Mus musculus: one gene and its partners. The protein of the gene in region 2 interacts with the protein of the main gene of each other region in a pairwise test. Links are inferred from orthologs where the notes say so. Each region holds a gene or a part of one and is shown on either strand. Other genes may lie near its edges.

Region 1 (5,821 bases), on a different chromosome or scaffold from region 2:
CTACCCCACTCTACCTACCTCTTGTACCAGGTTAGGGAGAACAACTTCCCAGCTTTTTTACCAGGAAGAACCTATACAGACCTTCCAAATTCAGGCCCCTGCTTGTCAAAGCTTTTGAGTATTTCCTTGACTATGTTCCAGGAGTAAGGTCTTGTATTAGTCTGGTTCTGTAGAGGAACAGAACTTAATAGAACACACACACACACACACACACACACACACACAATAGAAAAGGGATTTATTAGAATGGCTTACAGTCTCTGGTCCAGCCAGTCCAACTATGCCTGTTTACCAATGGGAAGTCCAGTAGTTGTTCAGTCCATGAGTCTGGACATCTCAGATGGTCTGTAGTATACACTGGAATCCTGAAGAAATATGCTCTAATGCCAGTGAAGGAATGCACTTGACAGTGAGAATGAGAGTAATGAAGCAAAGAGAGCAAGCTTCCTTCTTCCATGGCTGCCAGCAGATGGTGTGACGGTATGACCCAGGTTAAAGGTGAATCTTCCCATCTCAAGGATCCAGATTAGAAATTGGTCTCCCTTTAAAACAGTTAATTAAACAAGCAAAAAACCCCTCATAGGCGTGCCCAGCAATTTGGTTTTTACTTAATTCTATATGTAGTCAATCCCATATGTAAGCAAAATGAAACGAAAATATCCAACATTAGCCTCAAAATGAGTGTCTAAAGAATGTCTAATTAGCCAGGCAGTGGTCACACCTTTAATCCCAGCACTTGGGAGGCAGAGGCAGGTGGATTTCTGAGTTCAAGGCCAGCCTGGTCTACAGAGTGAGTTCCAGGACATCCAGGGCTATACAGAGAAACCCTGTCTTGAAAAACCAAAATAAAATAAAATAAAATAAAATAAAATAAAATAAAATAAAATAAAAAGAATGTCTAATTACAGAACCTCAGGGTCTCTGGTGTGTCACTTAAAAACACTTTTTGAAACAAATGGATTTTCTAGATGTTTTCTAGCTCTTCCACATATGAAACCGTCCAGAGACCAACTTGACAAGAAATATAAATTAAAATAAATATAAATTAAACTTTAATTTCAACACTGGATGCCAGGATCCAGCATTTAGCCCAGTAACTTTCAGCCTCCAGACACCTGCAGGGCTCAGGCATTCTGTCCCTCCATGGTCATGTGAGCCAGTTCCTAAAGCAAATCTCTGAATCTGTTGTTTCCATTGCCCTGGAGAGCTGAAGTCCATCAAAGCCAAGGCTCAGCTGAAGCAGAAAGATGCAGAGAACCAAACTCGACCCTCAGCTTTGCTTTGTTCTCTTTGTAAGAAAGAAGAGGAAAGGGTTGAAGCTCAGTCCTGAGGCCCTGTGGAAGCCCTGAGCGGCTTACACGTCTGTGAGGGGACTGACTAGGTTGAACAACACTGCCGATGAAAGAGCGAAGGTCACACTACCACTGCTTCCTGTACAGCTCCCTGGGCTGTGCTCCTCAGCGTATGCTGATGGGTGGGGTCTGGCGCCCCTAGGTGCTTACCAACAGTCTCTCAGGCAGGAGTACTCATACAATGCCTTTGGCCAAGCAACTGGTGGCAGGTCATTCCTCCAAATTGAGAGCCTTAAACTGCTGCCATCTCAGAATCAAGCCTGAGGAGAAAGAGGAGCGAAAGCAAGAGTGGAAACATTGCTTCTCAAGCCTTTTTCTTTAGACATTTTTTTTTCCTCTCCAGTGCTTTCTCTAGTCTGAACCCACACAGTTCCAGCAAAATGACTGTCACCTTGCTGTTTCTCATCTGTACCCCTTTCCCACGCGGTCCCCTTCATTTTATGCTGGGCCACCATTTTTTCAAGACAGCAGTGTGCCCTGTCCCCACCCACTAGGATCCAAGTGTCAGCCCACCCCTACCACTCCACCACTTCACCCACACACCTGTCAGTCCTTTCGTTTATTTTTTAAGAAGTCAGTGTGTGTGTGTGTTTGTGTGTGTGTGTCAGTTATTTCTGGCCCTTGGTTGAACCTTGGAGCTAGCAAAAGTGGAAGAGCTCCCCATATCTAAGAGGCCCTCCCCTGGCAGTGCTTCCCTCATGCAGGACTGGAAGAGACTGGAAGAGGGCATGGGCAGGCCACACTTAGAAGCACTGTGAGAAGGTCACAGACTTGTGTGTTGGCCTTGTGCAGATTATCTTGGTCTCATTTGAGAAAACTGATAATATCATTCTTTCTTTCCCATATCCTTCACCACAGCATCTTGAGAACAAACTGTCCTAATGGGGAAAATGTGTCATGCTGTTATGAGGGAAAACCAGTGTGCAATGGTCATGGGGTCCTTTCCGGGAATAAAAGCTTTACTGCCTGCAGCTTCATTCTGTTTGCTTTGACTGGTCTTTAAAGAATGTATTACTTTATCCAAAACAAACAGCAAATGCTTTCTGTGAACAGATGAACCTGAGTGAACGCACACCTTTAATCCCAGCACTCGGGAGGCAGAGACAGGCAGATTTCTGAGTTGAAGGCCAGCCTGGTCTACAGAGTGAGTTCCAGGACAGCCCGGGCTACACAGAGAAACCCTGTCTCGAAAAACAAAACAAAACAAAACAAATTCCCTCCTGCCCAGCACTGTGAATGTTCACCAAGAAAAAGAAAAGTGATGGGAAAGAAAGAAAATTAAACCTGCAGGGGACGGGGAGATAAGATAGCCAGTCCAGCCACTCAGTGAGTACTGGATTCAGTGAGATGATACGCCAATAGATAATTTAGCCAGTCAGAGAGTGCAGACCACAGTCAGTGATGGAAAAAGACATCTGGTGTCCCTTTGCTCTCCAACATCGAGGAACCCAAGGCTCTGGGGAAGAGCCTGGGGTTGTTCTTATCCATTGATAGAGTCCTGACCCCGACTGGATAAAGCGAATGCTAGTCAGACAGCTAGGGTTCCTTCTGGACGATGGGTAGTGTATGAACTTCAGATCACCCATGGGGCCCACGTTCCATCTTCCTGCCACAACTCTAATTTCCCAGCTCACAAAACCCGGTCTGATGCCCCGTCCCAAAGACTGGTTCCCCTCCAGCTGCTCTCTGGTTCCCAGACACTCAATACAAGCCTGGCTGACAGCTCTAGGGAAATTGCTTTAGAAGCTTGTCTGCTCCCTTTCGCCCTTGGAAAGCAAGGAGAATGTCTAAGAGTCCACCTCTCCTGAGTCCTCAGTGGTGTGTTAGCCTTGTTCTGTGAGGGAGAAAACTCACTGATGTTCCACAGACAAGACTAAAAGTCCCTGGGGAACAGGAATTTCTCTACAGTCTATGAAAAAAGATCAGTTGTCTTTCCCTTCAGGTTGACACTAATTGTTACTGGTAGATTTAAGGGTGAGCAGGATAGAAGAACACCACACACACACACACACACACACACACACACACACACACACACCACAAGATCCCTGTTACCTGGTGAGTTCCTGAGGATCTTTCCATTCAAGATCTATAGCCACTGTGGAGCTACCTTCCAGGCCTAGGCAGCCTCTCACATTGGTTTGTAGTCTTTCGTAAAAGTACAAGAGCTACAAGAGGTGAAGGCCAGCTCACAAGATCTGTCTTCCAGGGGGAGGAAGACGGTGTCTCCTGAGGGGTGGGAAAGGGTGATGTACATGAGTTTCTCTGAAAAGGGGTGCTCTGAGGGCCACTGAAGAAGGCAGCCAGTGGAAAAGGTTGATTTAAAAAAAAAAAAAAAGTTCTGCTTCCTGCTCCACCCTCATCGGCCACACCACTGAGATGTTTGTGTACAAAGTATTCTCTATGGGCCTAAGAGAATCTAGAAGTCTAAAAGCATGGGCAACCCAAGACTCTAGCTTCTGCTCCTCCTCACCAGGCAGACAGCATGCATCTCTTCTGCTCTGCTGTTTACCTCTGCCATCCGGAGGTAGCTTCTTAGATGGAATTTGAGGTGGCAGTTGAGCCTAAAGTGGCTCTCTCCAGGGCCCACTGGACAGATCAATAGCTATCATGCTTGAGCCTGGCTAAGGTACCCTGGCTTCTAGGGAGAGTATGGGAGAACAAGGCTTAGGTTTTCTCACCTGGGCAGACCTTGTCTCCACAGAAGCCATGAAGCTAGCTACCCAGTCTATAGTATGGTTTAGGCAAAGCAACAGCACTTAGTGGAATCCCAAGTCCCTGTGCCTCTGCCTGCTGCCCTGCAGGACTCAGGATCCGGAGTGAGCCAGGTCTCCTCCCTGGAGGAGTTCCACTTAGCCGTGTGTTTGAGTTCAGATCACTTTTTTATTCACTTGCTGTTCTTTTCCGCGTATGAGTGTTTTGCCTACATGTATGCAAGTGCCCTCTGCACATGCCTGGTGCTTGCAGAAGCCAGGAGAGGCTGCTGGATCCCCTGGATCTGGAACTATTAACACTTGTAAGGCTCCTTAACTACTGAGCCATCCCTCCAATCCCAAGTTTGGGTGATTTTTTTTTTTTTTTAAACAAAAGAATGTTCAAGGAGGAGAGTGGGATATGGGATCTATTTGGGTGAAATGAATATAGATGTTGTTCCTATAACCTGCATGTTCATATCCTTAGCTTTTTGTTTTGTTTTGTTTGTTGGTTTTTTTCGAGACAGGGTTTCTCTGTGTAGCCCTGGCTGTCCCGGTCTGTAGACCAGGCTGGCCTTGAACTCAGAACTATCTGCCTGCCTCTGCCTCCCAAGTGCTGGGATTAAAGGTGTGAGCCACCACTGCCTGGCTGTTGTTTTGTTTTGTTGTTTTAATTGACATGTATGCTCTTGTGGGTTCCTGAATCCACCTCAGCTCCTGCAGTGTGATTTCTTCCTCACAGAACTCAGGGATTGTTTGGAACCTTTTCTCACTGCAGCTTTCTGGTCCACGCCTCCAAAGGGAAGGTGCATCCTGCTGTGAAGGGACGGTCAGCAGGAAAGGAAGCCAGACTGCAGCCAATGAGAACAAGAGCCTGAGGCTCAAAACTGTAGGAAGGGAGTGGGAACTGGCGTCGACGTCTTGCAAACACTGCCCCCTGCTGGTTACCTGCTGGTTTGCTGTGTTCTGTTTTGCCCAGTCTGGAAATATTGAACAGTGGTTTGGGGGAGTTGTTTGTTTATTTTTGATGTGCCTGAGCTCGCACGTGCACATGCTCCTGAGTGAACACAGGAAAGCCAGAAGACTGACTGAAGGTGTCTTCTATTACTGCGATACCCTATTGCCTTGAAATAGGATCTCTCAGTGAATTCTTGATTTCTACTAGGTTGACTGCCAGGAGCTCTAGGACCTGCCACTTTGCGCCCGATGCTGAGATTACAGGCACAAGCAGTCATGCCCAGATTTTTATTTGGATGCTGGGGATTCCAACTTAGGTTCTCATGCTTGCACATAAAAAGTTCTTACTCACTGAAGGCTAACCGTCGCCTCTCAGCCTCAACAAATGCTTTCCTTTTGACTTGCTACTCTAGAGAGCCCTCCTTTCTCATCACCTTGTTTAAAACCATGCTGCTGTACCCACACGAGAGTCCAAACACGAATGCCTATGGCAGATTTGTTCACAAAGCCCATCCAAATGCAGAGACAACTCAGATACACTTTAGTAGGTGGGTGTGACACACCCGGGCAATGGGAACTACAAAGAGATGCGTTAGCAGGACACATGGAGCCTCAGAGGGAACGTATATACATGCTGCTACGTGAAAGAAGCTGATCTGGCAGGGCTCTGTGCTGTATAGCCACAGCTCTGTCGCATGCTGGAAAGGACAACTGTGAAGATCACCTGTGGTCAGGGACTTGGGGAAGTAGAGGGAGAAATGAACAGTGAAGTCAGAGGAATCTATGCTAATGAGATATTCTATCTGACCTGTGGGTTGC
Region 2 (5,987 bases):
CATCTTTTGTCTCAAGACTCTTCTCACTCTGTGCTGCTGGAGAAGAAGGTGTTGGGTGTGGAGAGCGGCAGCGCGTTTCTGGAGTGTGAGCCCCGCTCGCTCCAGGCGCATGTGCAGTGGACCTTCCAAGGTGCAGGGGAGGCAGCTCACACCCAGGTGTGCCTTGCTCCACCCTTCCTAACCAGGCCCATTTAAGAGAAGCTATGCCCTGCCTAAGGAGGCCTTTGGCCTGTACCTCATACCGTTCAGTGAGTCAGATTCCCTTATCATAGTTTGTCTCATCCTCTACTGTCCTTAGCTCCACAACCTAGTGATGCCCCAACTGTGCCCACCTAGACTCCTGACCCACCCTCTACCATCTGGAGAGAGAAAGCCCTCAACCCCCCACGCGCGCACTGAGGTTTCTAGTCTACCCAATCCCCCACTCACCTAGATGGACTCATCCTCCGAAGGCTAAGTTCACATACCCTTTAAAGTGAGTCAATGCCAGCACCCATTTTCCTTGTCCACCTTTGGCTTCCAATGATCCTTGTTTCTGTCCCTTCCCTCACACACAGGTGCTGGCTGAGGAGAGAGTAGAGCGCACTGCGCGGGGGCTGCTGTTGCGGGGGCTGCGGCGCCAGGACTCTGGCGTGTATCTTTGCGTCGCGGTTGAACAAGGCTTTTCACAACCACTGCGTCGCCTGGTGCTGCATGTGTTGAGTGCGGCGCAGGCTGAACGACTGGCACGGGCAGAGGAAGCAGCCGCTCCTGCACCTCCTGGCCCTAAACTCTGGTACCGGGACTTTCTGCAGTTGGTGGAGCCAGGCGGTGGCGGAGGTGCAAACTCCCTGCGAATGTGCCGCCCGCAGCCCGGGCACCACTCTGTGGCAGCAGATTCACGTCGTAAGGGTCGCAACAGACGGATGCATGTCTCTGAGCTCCGTGCTGAGCGTGGACCACGTAGTGCAGCTCACTGGTGACTCGGCTGTCCCCACAATGGGACGAGGCTGAATATGACACTCCAAAGAGGGGCAGACAGATGCCAGGAAGACAAATGAGTTATGGCTGGGCCACACTGAGGTCCTTGGGCCAACAGAGACACCTAACCCTTACATAGGCCCTGGCCAAAGGGTAGCTTATTTATTAACAAGATAACCCGTGGATGTAGCCTCAAAGAGTGGCCTAAGCTCAATTCAGGATCTAACCAGGAGGGAGGGGACAGAGACGTGGGGTTCCAGAGTGGACCAGGACCAGAGAGTTGTCTTGGGTGGCAGCCCTGGGGAAAGAATTCTCTTTCTTGGGCAGCAAGCAGCAAGCTGTGAACAGATTAGACCGTTGGGTATGGGGTGAGGCAGGCCAACTGTACTAAAGTAACGCAATAAACACATTATCAGCTGACATTGGAATGGCCCCAGCAGACAACAGGTAGTCCTAGACCTTGCTGGGGGCTCTTGGGTATCGCCCTAGGGGTCTCAAGACCTGCATTTTCCTCATCCAAGAATGCTAAAGTGAAGATTAAACGTGTTAGTAGACGACTACGCTGGTTCCAGTGAGCCTCTGGGGTACTGGCAATACACAGTGCATTAGTGGCAGGACCAAGCTCTCTGAAGTAAAACCAATACTGGCTGTTGTGGGCAAGGATGTATTAATTCACTGAACGGGTGGTGTTTGAGCTGAATAAGAAGGAGCCAATCACCAATGTCTGGTGACAGAACATTCCGGGATAGAAGAACCAGGGCAACAACGTCGTGGAGCAGGGGACAGACCCTCCAAGTCTGCGGAACAACCAGGAGGCTGATATGGTGTTATGGCACTATGGACTCCTGATGGTTTGGAAGGTAGATCCCACCAGCCCTGCTTTTCACCGTTGAGAAACAGAACAGAGTCCACCCAGACTAAGGCCTGCAAGCTGGACCAGCACCCTTCAAGAGAGCCACGTGCCTCTCTCTCCGTGGCCTGTCAAGCCCTTGTGAAGAGGAGAGGGAGGACCCAAAACCTCTTAAGTGCTTTAGCCATGCTTCTTCATTTTTATTCTCAGTACAGTTGGCCAGGAACCTTTGTTCCTGTTTTACAGATGGAAAAGTGGAAGCCACTCCTGAAGTTCTTTTAACCTAAGGTTATAGTTTAATACTAGACATAGCAGTTTCTAATCCCAGTTCTGTCCACTGGCCAGCATGGGTGCCCACTTGTAGGGCTACCAGATCCCTATGGCATTCATTGGGCTCCAGTTGTGTCCCACCCTACCCCCACTATCTGGTATTAGATGGTCACACAGTGGTGGGTGGTTATCTCCCGTTTGCTGGAAGGAGATGGCTGGTATGTGGGAGTGAGGGATGGCTGAGTGGACTGTGCAGGCATCCTTTTCTACCATGCAACATGGTGCATGCGACACGGTGCATGCTACATGCTGATCTTCAGGATGAAAGCCCCCAAAGTCTAGGTGGGTATAGAGTTGGTATGGTTTTCTGAGAAGTTCCTTGTGCCCATGTGCTAGCAGCTCTTGGCTGAGCCCCTTCACCAAGTAGGTAGTCTAGGGCAGCCCATCTAGGTCACTCTGCCCCTTTCATGGATCGGAGCTGCCCCCTCTAAATATAGTCCAGGAAAAGTGAGCTCAGGCCTATTTTAAGGGCAGGTTGGGAGGCAGCCAGGCCTCTCCCGGAATCTGAAAGGAGCCATTGCTCTCTTTGTCAAGTTTTGCTACTGGGCACTCTCATTGGGCCCTGACTACCTACCAACTGCCATGCCTGAGGAGACCCTAGAAGGTAGGAGAGGGTGGCCACTGGGGAGGACAAGGCTCTAGTTCTGCTCACAGAGAGACCTGGCTTCATGGGGAGACCTCTCGGTCTTTTTGTACCGCACTCCTAGGGACCTACCCCTATGCATGGAGAAAGAATGTATCCGTTATACTTAGAACTCCTCCCCACCTAAGGTCCTGCCTCAGGGAGGGATTCAAAGCTCTCCACTTAGGAGTGGGTCAGCTATAGGCTGTGCCCAAGTGGGTGTGGGCATCTGGGGGAGCTCCCAAGCAGTTCAGATCTTCCTTCAGCGAAGGAGCCAGGATTGGGGTGAAGACCGGTTCTGGGGAGCATTTGGATATCTGGCCCAGGAGGCGATGAAGTAGGCAGGCCTGCCCCGAGTGTCTTAGCCTGCTCAAGACTGGCACTTAGCCGGTCAAGTGCCTTTACCTGCTGAGCCATCCTGTCCCTCCTAAATATTTTACACTGCCGAGAAAGGGCCTGCCCTCTGCTAAGGGATGTTAACCTTTTTGGGGTGAGAGGGGGAGACCTAACTATAACATCTACCATGTGTCTTTTTCTATAGCAAATGAAACATGTTCACATATAAAGTATGGGAGACGCACAGTGAGGAGCAGAGGGGATGTAATGTGACTTGCGGTCCGCCGCCCAGGCTCAAGGACTGACAGCTTCTGGTTTTGTTTGAATTGCTTGTGAGCATGGCATGGGGCAGCTTCAAGCACGTCATAAAGGCTGAGTTACTGTCCGGAGATGGGAGGACCCAAAGCCATCCATCCCCAGTGCTGGGCTACACTGTAACCTGCGTTCCTGGCAGGCATCTGGAGTTGGGGCAAAACCAAACCAAACAACAACATCCAATAAAAGACCTTGACAGTGCACACTCAAGAGGCAGAGACAGGAGGATCTCTGTGAGTTCAAGGCCAGTCTGGTCTATATTCTGAATTCTAGGCAGCCAGGTCCACATAGGGAATCCCTGTTTCAAAACTAAATACCCAGTCAACATCAGCAGAAAGTGTAATTATAGTTATTTAGAAATCACAAATATTTTGATAATAGTTGAAATGCTGAGGCAGAAGGATCACTTGAATTAACCAGGTACTCAAAACCAGTCTGGGAACTTTCTGAGACTGTCTTAAACAGGGGAGGTGGGAGGAGGGACAAGATGGCTCAGTGATTGAAAGCACTTGCTGTATAACCAGAAGATCTGAATTCAGACCCCAGTGACCACGGAACAAGCCAGGTGTGGTCTTGTGTGCCTTATAACCCCAGTGCTGTGTGCACTGGGACATGAGGATAGGAAGGACAATGGAGCTTACTGGTTGCTACCCTTGTTAAAAAACAAAAACACCCAAACAAACAAACAAACCAAATAGCAAAGCTGGGTAGAGATGCACACACCTTTTTTTTTTTTTTTCGAGACAGGGTTTCTCTGCATAGCCCTGGCTGTCCTGGAACTCACTTTGTAGACCAGGCTGGCCTCGAACTCAGAAATCGGTCTGCCTCTGCCTCCCAAGTGCTGGGATCAAAGGCGTGAGCCACCACTGCCCAGCGAGATGCACACACTTAATGCCAGTAATAGGTAGGCCGAGGCAAAAGAATTTCGAGTTTAAGCCCATCCTAGCTTAGGCTACGCAATGAGTTCCAGGCCAGCACAGTGAGTCACTATCTCAAAACAAAACAAAACAAGACAAAACAAAACAAAACCTGAAATAAATATAACCATAAGGGAACCACAGTCAGCGGCTAAATAGGCAGAACCTGTAAACGGTAATTACACACACGTTGGTCAGGCTCCCTAGGCAGCAATCAAGACAAGCTGTTTCTCATCTCTCAAGTTAGCAAATATATGTAAAGGTGTGGGCATACAGAGTCTGGGGATAGTTCTGTGAAGAACTTGTCTAGCATGCTTGAAAGACCTGAGTTTTATTTCTCCGGGGCCAGGATGTGTGTGAAGACTGTCCCACGACATGCTCAGAAGCAAGTCCAAAAGCAGATACTGTCTGCCAGTCTTTATGTCTGGGAGGGGGACTACAGATCTCGGGGTACACACTTCTGATCCCAGGCAGGTCTGGTGAGGTAGAGAGAGTTCCTGGGGCTCCGTAGTTAGTGAGTCTAGGTTATTTATTGGGTTCCAGTGCCAGGTCAGCAAGACCTTTGGCTTCTGCACCACACACACACACACACACACATTTTCCCCACAGTGGGATGGCTAATGGTGGCCATGTTGTACTGCTGGGCTCTGGACAGGCCTTTTAGAAGATAGTTTTGATGATAGCTTCAAAGAGAACTCTCAGTTCTTTGGGCCCCATGATTTCCACTTCTGAGAATTGTCCTCAGTAACTTTCAGGAAAGTGGGGAAAACCTTCATGTTTAATGATGGATGTCCTGGGGGTTAATTTCCACTGAGAATTGGAAACTACCTAAATGCCCAGATAGCCTCAGAGGGAGGCCAGAGGGAGGAGCCCTCAAAGTTAGATTGAAACTGTTAAGAATAAAAGTGGACTCCTGCGGCGCCGTTGAGTGCAAACAGCAGGACTCCCTCCCATAAGAGAGGCCGAATCACTGTGAAGGCAGACCAGAGGCCAGGAGGAATAAGCAGGCAGACCTGGGAAATGCTCAAATGTGACATGGGAGCATGGAGTCCCTGGACCCTTTGGAGCCCTGGACCCAAACTTAGGGTCACCCCTGAAATTGTAGGGAATTTGGAACCAAATGTCACAGGTGCAGTTCCCATATGTCCCAAGTCTCCGCAACCTACAAAGGAACTGATTGCTCCAATTGTCCCACCGCCCCTGTAGACACCGTGTTGCCAATGCAGAACCAGAGGAACAGGGGAGCACTGGCTCCTAACCACGTGCAGGAGGTGCGTCTGCACCGAGTGGAGTCCATCAGTGACCTACACAGCGGAGGTAAGGGAGCTCAGACAGGGAGTGAGATGGATGCTGTGGGTACCACCTTCCCGATGGACCGGTTCTCCTTGCAGGCTCACTACGACCCTGTCTGGTGGAGGAGGCACAGGCATGGGAGGAGCTTCTGGGTGTCTTACCACCATCGCTGTGCACCCAAGCTGGTTGCAGCCCTGTGTGTGGCCGTGGGGGCTTCCTTCTGCTGCTGGTACTGCTGGTGTTCACCTGCCTGGCGCTGGCCACCGTGGCTGTCTATCTAAGTGGTAGGAACAGGCAGGACCAGGAACCCAGGGCAACTGGAAATGAAGCAATAAAGGGTGGGGCACGGGCCAGTGGGCAAACC
Region 3 (5,778 bases), on a different chromosome or scaffold from region 2:
ACCATCTAGAGCCTGCCATATCCAGGGTTCCATCCCATAATCAGCTTCCAAACGCTGACACCATGGCATATACTAGCAAGATTTTGCTGAAAGGACCCAGATATAGCTGTCTCTTGTGAGACTATGCCGGGGCCTAGCAAACACAGAAGTGGATGCTCACAGTCAGCTATTGGATGGATCACAGGGCCCCCAATGGAGGAGCTAGAGAAAGTACCCAAGGAGCTAAAGGGATCTGCAACCCTATAGGTAGAACAACATTATGAACTAACCAGCACCCCGGAGCTCTTGACTCTAGCTGCATATGTATCAAAAGATGGCCTAGTCGGCCATCACTGGAAAAAGAGGCCCATTGGACTTGCAAACTTTATATGCCCCAGTACAGGGGAACGCCAGGCCCAAAAAGGGGGAGTGGGTGGGTAGGGGATTGGGAGAGAGGGTATGGGGGACTTTTGGGATAGCATTGGTAATGTAAATGAGGAAAATACCTAATAAAAAGTATTTAAAATATAGACACACACAGACACACACAAAAAAAGAAACCAGTCTGGTGGTTCTTCAGAAAATTGAACATAGTATTACCTGAGGACCCAGCTATACCACTTCCGGGCATATACCCAAAAGATGCTCCAACATATAACAAGGACACATGCTCTGTTAAGTTCATAGCAGCCTTATTTATAATAGCCAGAAGGTGGAAAGAACCTAGATGTCCTCCAACAGAGGAATAGATACAGAAAATATGGTACATTTACACAATGGAGTACTACTCGGCTATTAAAAACAATGACTTCATGTAATTCTTAAGCAAATGGATGGAACTAGAAAATATCACCCTGAGTGAGGTAACCCAATCACAAAAGGACACACATGGTATGCATTCATTGATAAGTGAATATTAGCCCCAAAAGCTCAGAATACCAAGATACAATTTAAAGACCACACAAAGCTCAAGAAGAAGGAATACCAAAGTGTGGGTGTAGAAGGGGGAACAAAACTCTCATGGGAGCAAATATGGAGACAAAGTGTGGAGCAGAGACTGAAGGAAAGGCCATCCAGAGACTGCCCCACCTGGGGATTCATCCCATATATAGTCTCCAAACACAGATACTATTGTAGATTCCAAGAAGTTCATGCTGACAGGAGCCTGATATAGCTGTCTCCTGAGAGGCTCTGCCAGAACCTGACAAGTACAGAGGCAGATGCTTGCAGCCAACCATTGGGCTGAGCATGGGGTCCCCATAGGGTCTCCAAGGGAGGAGTTAGAGAAAGGACTGAAGGATTTGAAGGGGTTTGCAACCCCATAAGAAGAACAACAATATCAACCAACCAGACACCCCAGAGCTCCCTGGGACTAAACCACCAACCAAGGAGTACACATGGAGGGACCCATGGCTCCAGCCACATATGTAGCAGAGGATGGCCTTGTCAGGCATCAAAAGGGAGGAGAGGCAATTGGTACTGTGAAGGCTTGATGCCCCAGTGTAGGGGAATGCCAGGGTGGGAAGGTGGGAGTGGGTGGGTGGGTGGGTGGGGGAGCATCCTCATAGAAGCAGGGAGAGGGAAATGGGATAAGGAGGGCTTCTGTGGGGGCTGGAAATCGGGAAAGGGGAGAACATTTTAAATGTAAATAAAGAAAATATACAATAAGATGTATTTAATATTCAAGGTTAAAAAAAAGATCCAAAAGTCATGCACTGATTTTTTTCTCATAAATTCAAACTGTATGTTTTAATTATCCTGACATGTTAATTGGAAAGAATGCATGTATGGAGTCATTACTATAAAGTGCTTTAAATATTGAAATTATTGTACTTCAAATATCCTGCATTGGGGCAGTCTTAAAAGAATGACAGGATACAGTTAAAAACAAGACCAGCAGCAGCTGTGAAGGGAAGGAAAGTGCCTCAGAGAGCAAACCTCACCCCTTAGAAGATAAGCCATGCCCTTGAAGTGCTGTTGGATGCCAGGGCACCAGGCTTGAAGCCACATTTTTGGAAGTGCTTTCTTCATCACCTGCTTATACTTTATTATTCCAAACACCATTTTCTGTGGGGGTGGAGGGGACCAGGAAAAAAATAGGTGCATGTGGTCACATGGTAGGATCATTGTTACAAACTCAGCTTCTATTTTGGGCATGGTAACAGAGACACAGTTTATTTCTGAATCTGACTTAATAGCTATTTCACCCTCAGGAATGTCACTACTGTTGAGAGAGAGAGAGAGAGAGAGAGAGAGAGAGAGAGAGAGAGAGAGAGAGAGAGAGAGAGCAGAAGAAGAAGAAGGAGGAGGAGGAGGAGGAGGAGGAGGAGGAGGAGGAGGAGAAGAAGAGGAGGAGGAGGAGGAGGAGGAGGAGGAGGAGGAGGAGAGGAAGACTAGCTACAAAAGTCACTGCTAAAAGGTCCTACTTTTAAAGTAATAGTCCAGTTACTAAACTTTGCTTGCCACAGACTAAGAAGGCGATGCCAAGATAGCTAAGCTACGGAGACATGGCACTAAGCCTGGTAGCCAGAACTCAATCTCCTTCACCTTTGTTCGATGGGAACCAACTCCTGCAACTTGTCCTCTGACCTCCAAGTAAGTGTTGTGGCATAAACATGCCCCGCCCACACACATAATTTAGAATAAAATCTGTCATAAAATTTGTTCAAGATTTTTTTTCTAAATCTAAAATAGACCAAGTAAATAATGGAGTCCTCTAGAAGGAGACATCTTTACAGCGAGCTCACAATGTTGGTAGATGTTTTTTCAATAAGCCTTTTCAGTGTTGCGACATGTTAAAATGAAAGACAAGCTAGTAGAGGAAAAAAAGGCAGTGTGATTCATGGGCTCCAAGGGCCTGCAGGTGGCTTCTGAGGGACTCTGCCAGTAAACGGATACAAGGACACACCTTGAAAACCAGAACCCACAGCTGTCAACACCAGCCCTTGCTATCTTTGGAAGCTGAAATGAGGGCATTCAGAAACAACCACCGAGGCCGCTGCAGAGTGTCACTACCTATTCCGTGTCGCACTAACTTGGCCTTCCTGCCGAGCTCCACTGGGCAGATTCTTTTCTGATCCTGGAACTCAGACACGTAAGTAGTTTCATTTTCCCGTGTTCTTGATCACTGCTAACAGCTGAGCCTTTCATCATCTAATAATTGCTTGATTCTCTACCAGTAGGACACTTCAACAAATAAAAATTGTCTCTGAAAAAAAAAAACTCATTGTACATTCTCCCTGCAGGTATTGGTATCAAAGCAGAAAACCATATTGTATGCTACGAACTCAGAATTGTTTACCAATGAAGGCTGAACTCAAAGCTTAATACGATGCTTCCTTGAGTGAGCCACGGCCACGTATGAACGGCATTCCTGAGTTCATGCCTCCAAGTCAGGAGGTAATTTTAAAAATCAAGTCTACATCTTTTCTATGAGCAGTCGAAAAGCACAGAATACATGCAATCAAAACCCCAAGGACTCAAAAATCATCATTCGGTCTCAGTAAGAAATAGCATGCAAATTACTTACAAAGACGTGAGCCTCCAATGCTCGGTTTCCTAGAAAAGACAACTACTCAGGAACAACTACAGCCAAACTTTCTACCAGTTCTGTAGTTCGCTCTTAATCTTCCTGCTGCTCACAAGTGCTCCCCTGAGGCCCGTAAACCCAGCACATAATTGGTGGTCTATATTTAGTGTAAATGTAGCCAAGCGATAACAAGATTCCCTGCAGTGGCTTCCGCTCTCATGTCCGAGTTTAAGATACGAATTGGTGAAGCTTTGCTTTAAAACAACAGACCGGCAAGCCTGGATTCAGTTGGTAACTGATGTGGTTCATATGAAGCTCAAGTTGAAAGTCCTTACTCAGTGGAAGTGGCTGTATCGTCTGACAGCACATTTCCTAGCTAGCGCTTCTGCTGTGCTGTGCTCCTGTGTATAAATACCCTGCAGCAGGCAGGAGCTGCCACTGGGACATCTGGTGTGCAGAGACCTCAGTAAACAGGGAGGATAGCTGTGATAACACAACTAGCGGAGTGGCTGATGTGTTAGATTTCCATCCCTGTATCCAAAATAAGTCAGCTTTATACTAGCCCCCCCCCCCGCCCCCCGTTTCAGACCTCTGATCTAGGCTTGCAGAAATAGAAAACATGGTAACAGGTACAGCTGAAAGAAGAGGCTTGAGAGGAAAGGGCCAAAGACTTGTCTTCAACCAAGCCTCACACCTAAAGATCCACCATTCTCCAGCGGTTCCAGGCTGGTGACCATGCAAGCCTTCTACACTTTTCTTTAAGGAGACTTCAGAGATCTAAACTATAGCAGCAGGTCCGGGGACTCCTGGGCTTTCAATTAGCTTTACAAAAAGTGTCTGTGGGTGCAAAGATTGCACACTTCAGCATTCCATCCAAAATGGGCTTCAGAAGCGCACCTGCCTTTTGGAAATAGCAGCCTTGTTTCCTTTCCACAAGTGGCAGGCAGTTTCTGCCCTCTGGTGTACACAATAGGTACTACAGTGAGAGCTGGGGCCTGCAAGCTCCGGGTGCCAGATCACACACAGTTTGGATGAAAACAGACTTGCAGTTGTTTAAGATCTGCCTTCGCTCACAAGTGCCCGCTCATTCTATAGCTCTGTGTGTTCCAGCTTCTCTTACACGGTTCTTTAGGGACATTATTATACTGTCAGAGAACAGGAATCTCACATTTTTTGGTCTTCCCATAGCTTGAGAACCAAGAAGACCATGCACTTGATACCTTTATCATTAAGTGCTGTCACCTGTATTAAAACTAAGCTCAGAAAAAATGAAGATGTTCCCATCATCTAGTCATGCAGGTCAAAAACCAAAACTCTTCTAACTACCCAATCTGTCCCAAATCCCCTATCATCTCAGAAGTACTTGCTTCAGTTTTGATGGCTGTTTTCCCCTTCTTCTAACATTATAACCTCAAGTACTAGTCCTCCAGAGATGGGAAACAGCCTCCACTGCCAGGGAGGGTAAAGTGGCAGCGATGAGACAACCCCATGCATGTGTCCATCCATCAAACCTGTCTGAAGGCACCTGGCTTTACTTTGACTCGTAGACAACGACTTGACCAGAATATGACGGCTCTCTTAATACTGAAATGCTGCTTTTTGAATCAGTAGAAAACATGTCTAGGGCCTTACATTTCTTTCAAATGCCCCTCATGGTATCCAGTCAATTCCCAGCCATCATAGAGTTGAGTCTATTGTTTTGAAATTAATTCTTGTGCTACAGTAATTTGGCTGAGAATCAGTGGTTGGCTGGCTGGCACTACTTTCAACTCAATTCTTAAACATCAGGTTCTTAGCAATCGTTGCCAGCAGAAGTTACTCAATGAATTCTTAAGATTTCCATCTTTGTAATCTCAAGCATGGGTTAAGTGCTTATTTCTCATTCCTCAAACCCTAACTAAACAAAAAAAAAAAAAAAAAAAAAAAAAAAAGCATAGGAATATGCCACAAGATGGAAATAGGAATAAATACCAGAGTTCAAACAATGTGACTGTGGTGGGAAACTAAGATGCCTGGACTTGCGGGTATATGAACCAACTAATGCTGCTGAAGTAGGCTCCGAGCTGGGCTGGGACGGAAGAGTTAAGTATGGACTCAACCAAGGTAAGTCATTGTATGTGAGCCAGACAAGGTAGACCGTGACTGAAAATGTTAGAGAGACGACTCTAAGGAAGAAGACATTGCAAACATAAGGCCCAAAGTCATTTTAGCTCTAAGGAATGAAATCGAGTGTGTGAAAAACTTCCAGGTTACTCAGCCCACCAGGCATG

What was found.
Region 1: the proteins of Lsmem2 (region 2) and Gimap3 interact in binary tests that used the Homo sapiens proteins (3 or more experiments, as listed by UniProt). The two-hybrid records come from large-scale screens. The link is inferred for Mus musculus from reciprocal best matches to the Homo sapiens genes LSMEM2 and GIMAP5.
Region 3: the proteins of Lsmem2 (region 2) and Lsmem1 interact in binary tests that used the Homo sapiens proteins (3 or more experiments, as listed by UniProt). The two-hybrid records come from large-scale screens. The link is inferred for Mus musculus from reciprocal best matches to the Homo sapiens genes LSMEM2 and LSMEM1.

The regions. Positions count from the first base shown.
Region 1 is NC_000072.6:48,767,235-48,773,055, forward strand, and holds the start of Gimap3 (GTPase IMAP family member 3), read right to left. Parts: upstream 3,618-5,821; 5' UTR 3,408-3,617; intron 1,613-3,407; 5' UTR 1,503-1,612; intron 543-1,502; 5' UTR 256-542; intron 1-255. UniProt on the Homo sapiens protein: Plays a role in T lymphocyte development and the optimal generation of CD4/CD8 double-positive thymocytes. Inhibitor of GSK3A, possibly by sequestering GSK3A in cytoplasmic vesicles and impairing its translocation to the nucleus.
Region 2 is NC_000075.6:107,593,746-107,599,732, reverse strand, and holds the start of Lsmem2 (leucine-rich single-pass membrane protein 2), read left to right. Parts: upstream 1-2,657; 5' UTR 2,658-2,722; coding exon 2,723-2,744; intron 2,745-5,536; coding exon 5,537-5,647; intron 5,648-5,721; coding exon 5,722-5,907; intron 5,908-5,987. Other genes in the region: Sema3b (semaphorin-3B precursor), read left to right, coding at 17-156, 558-962.
Region 3 is NC_000078.6:40,195,699-40,201,476, forward strand, and holds the start of Lsmem1 (leucine-rich single-pass membrane protein 1), read right to left. Parts: upstream 3,618-5,778; 5' UTR 3,509-3,617; intron 1-3,508.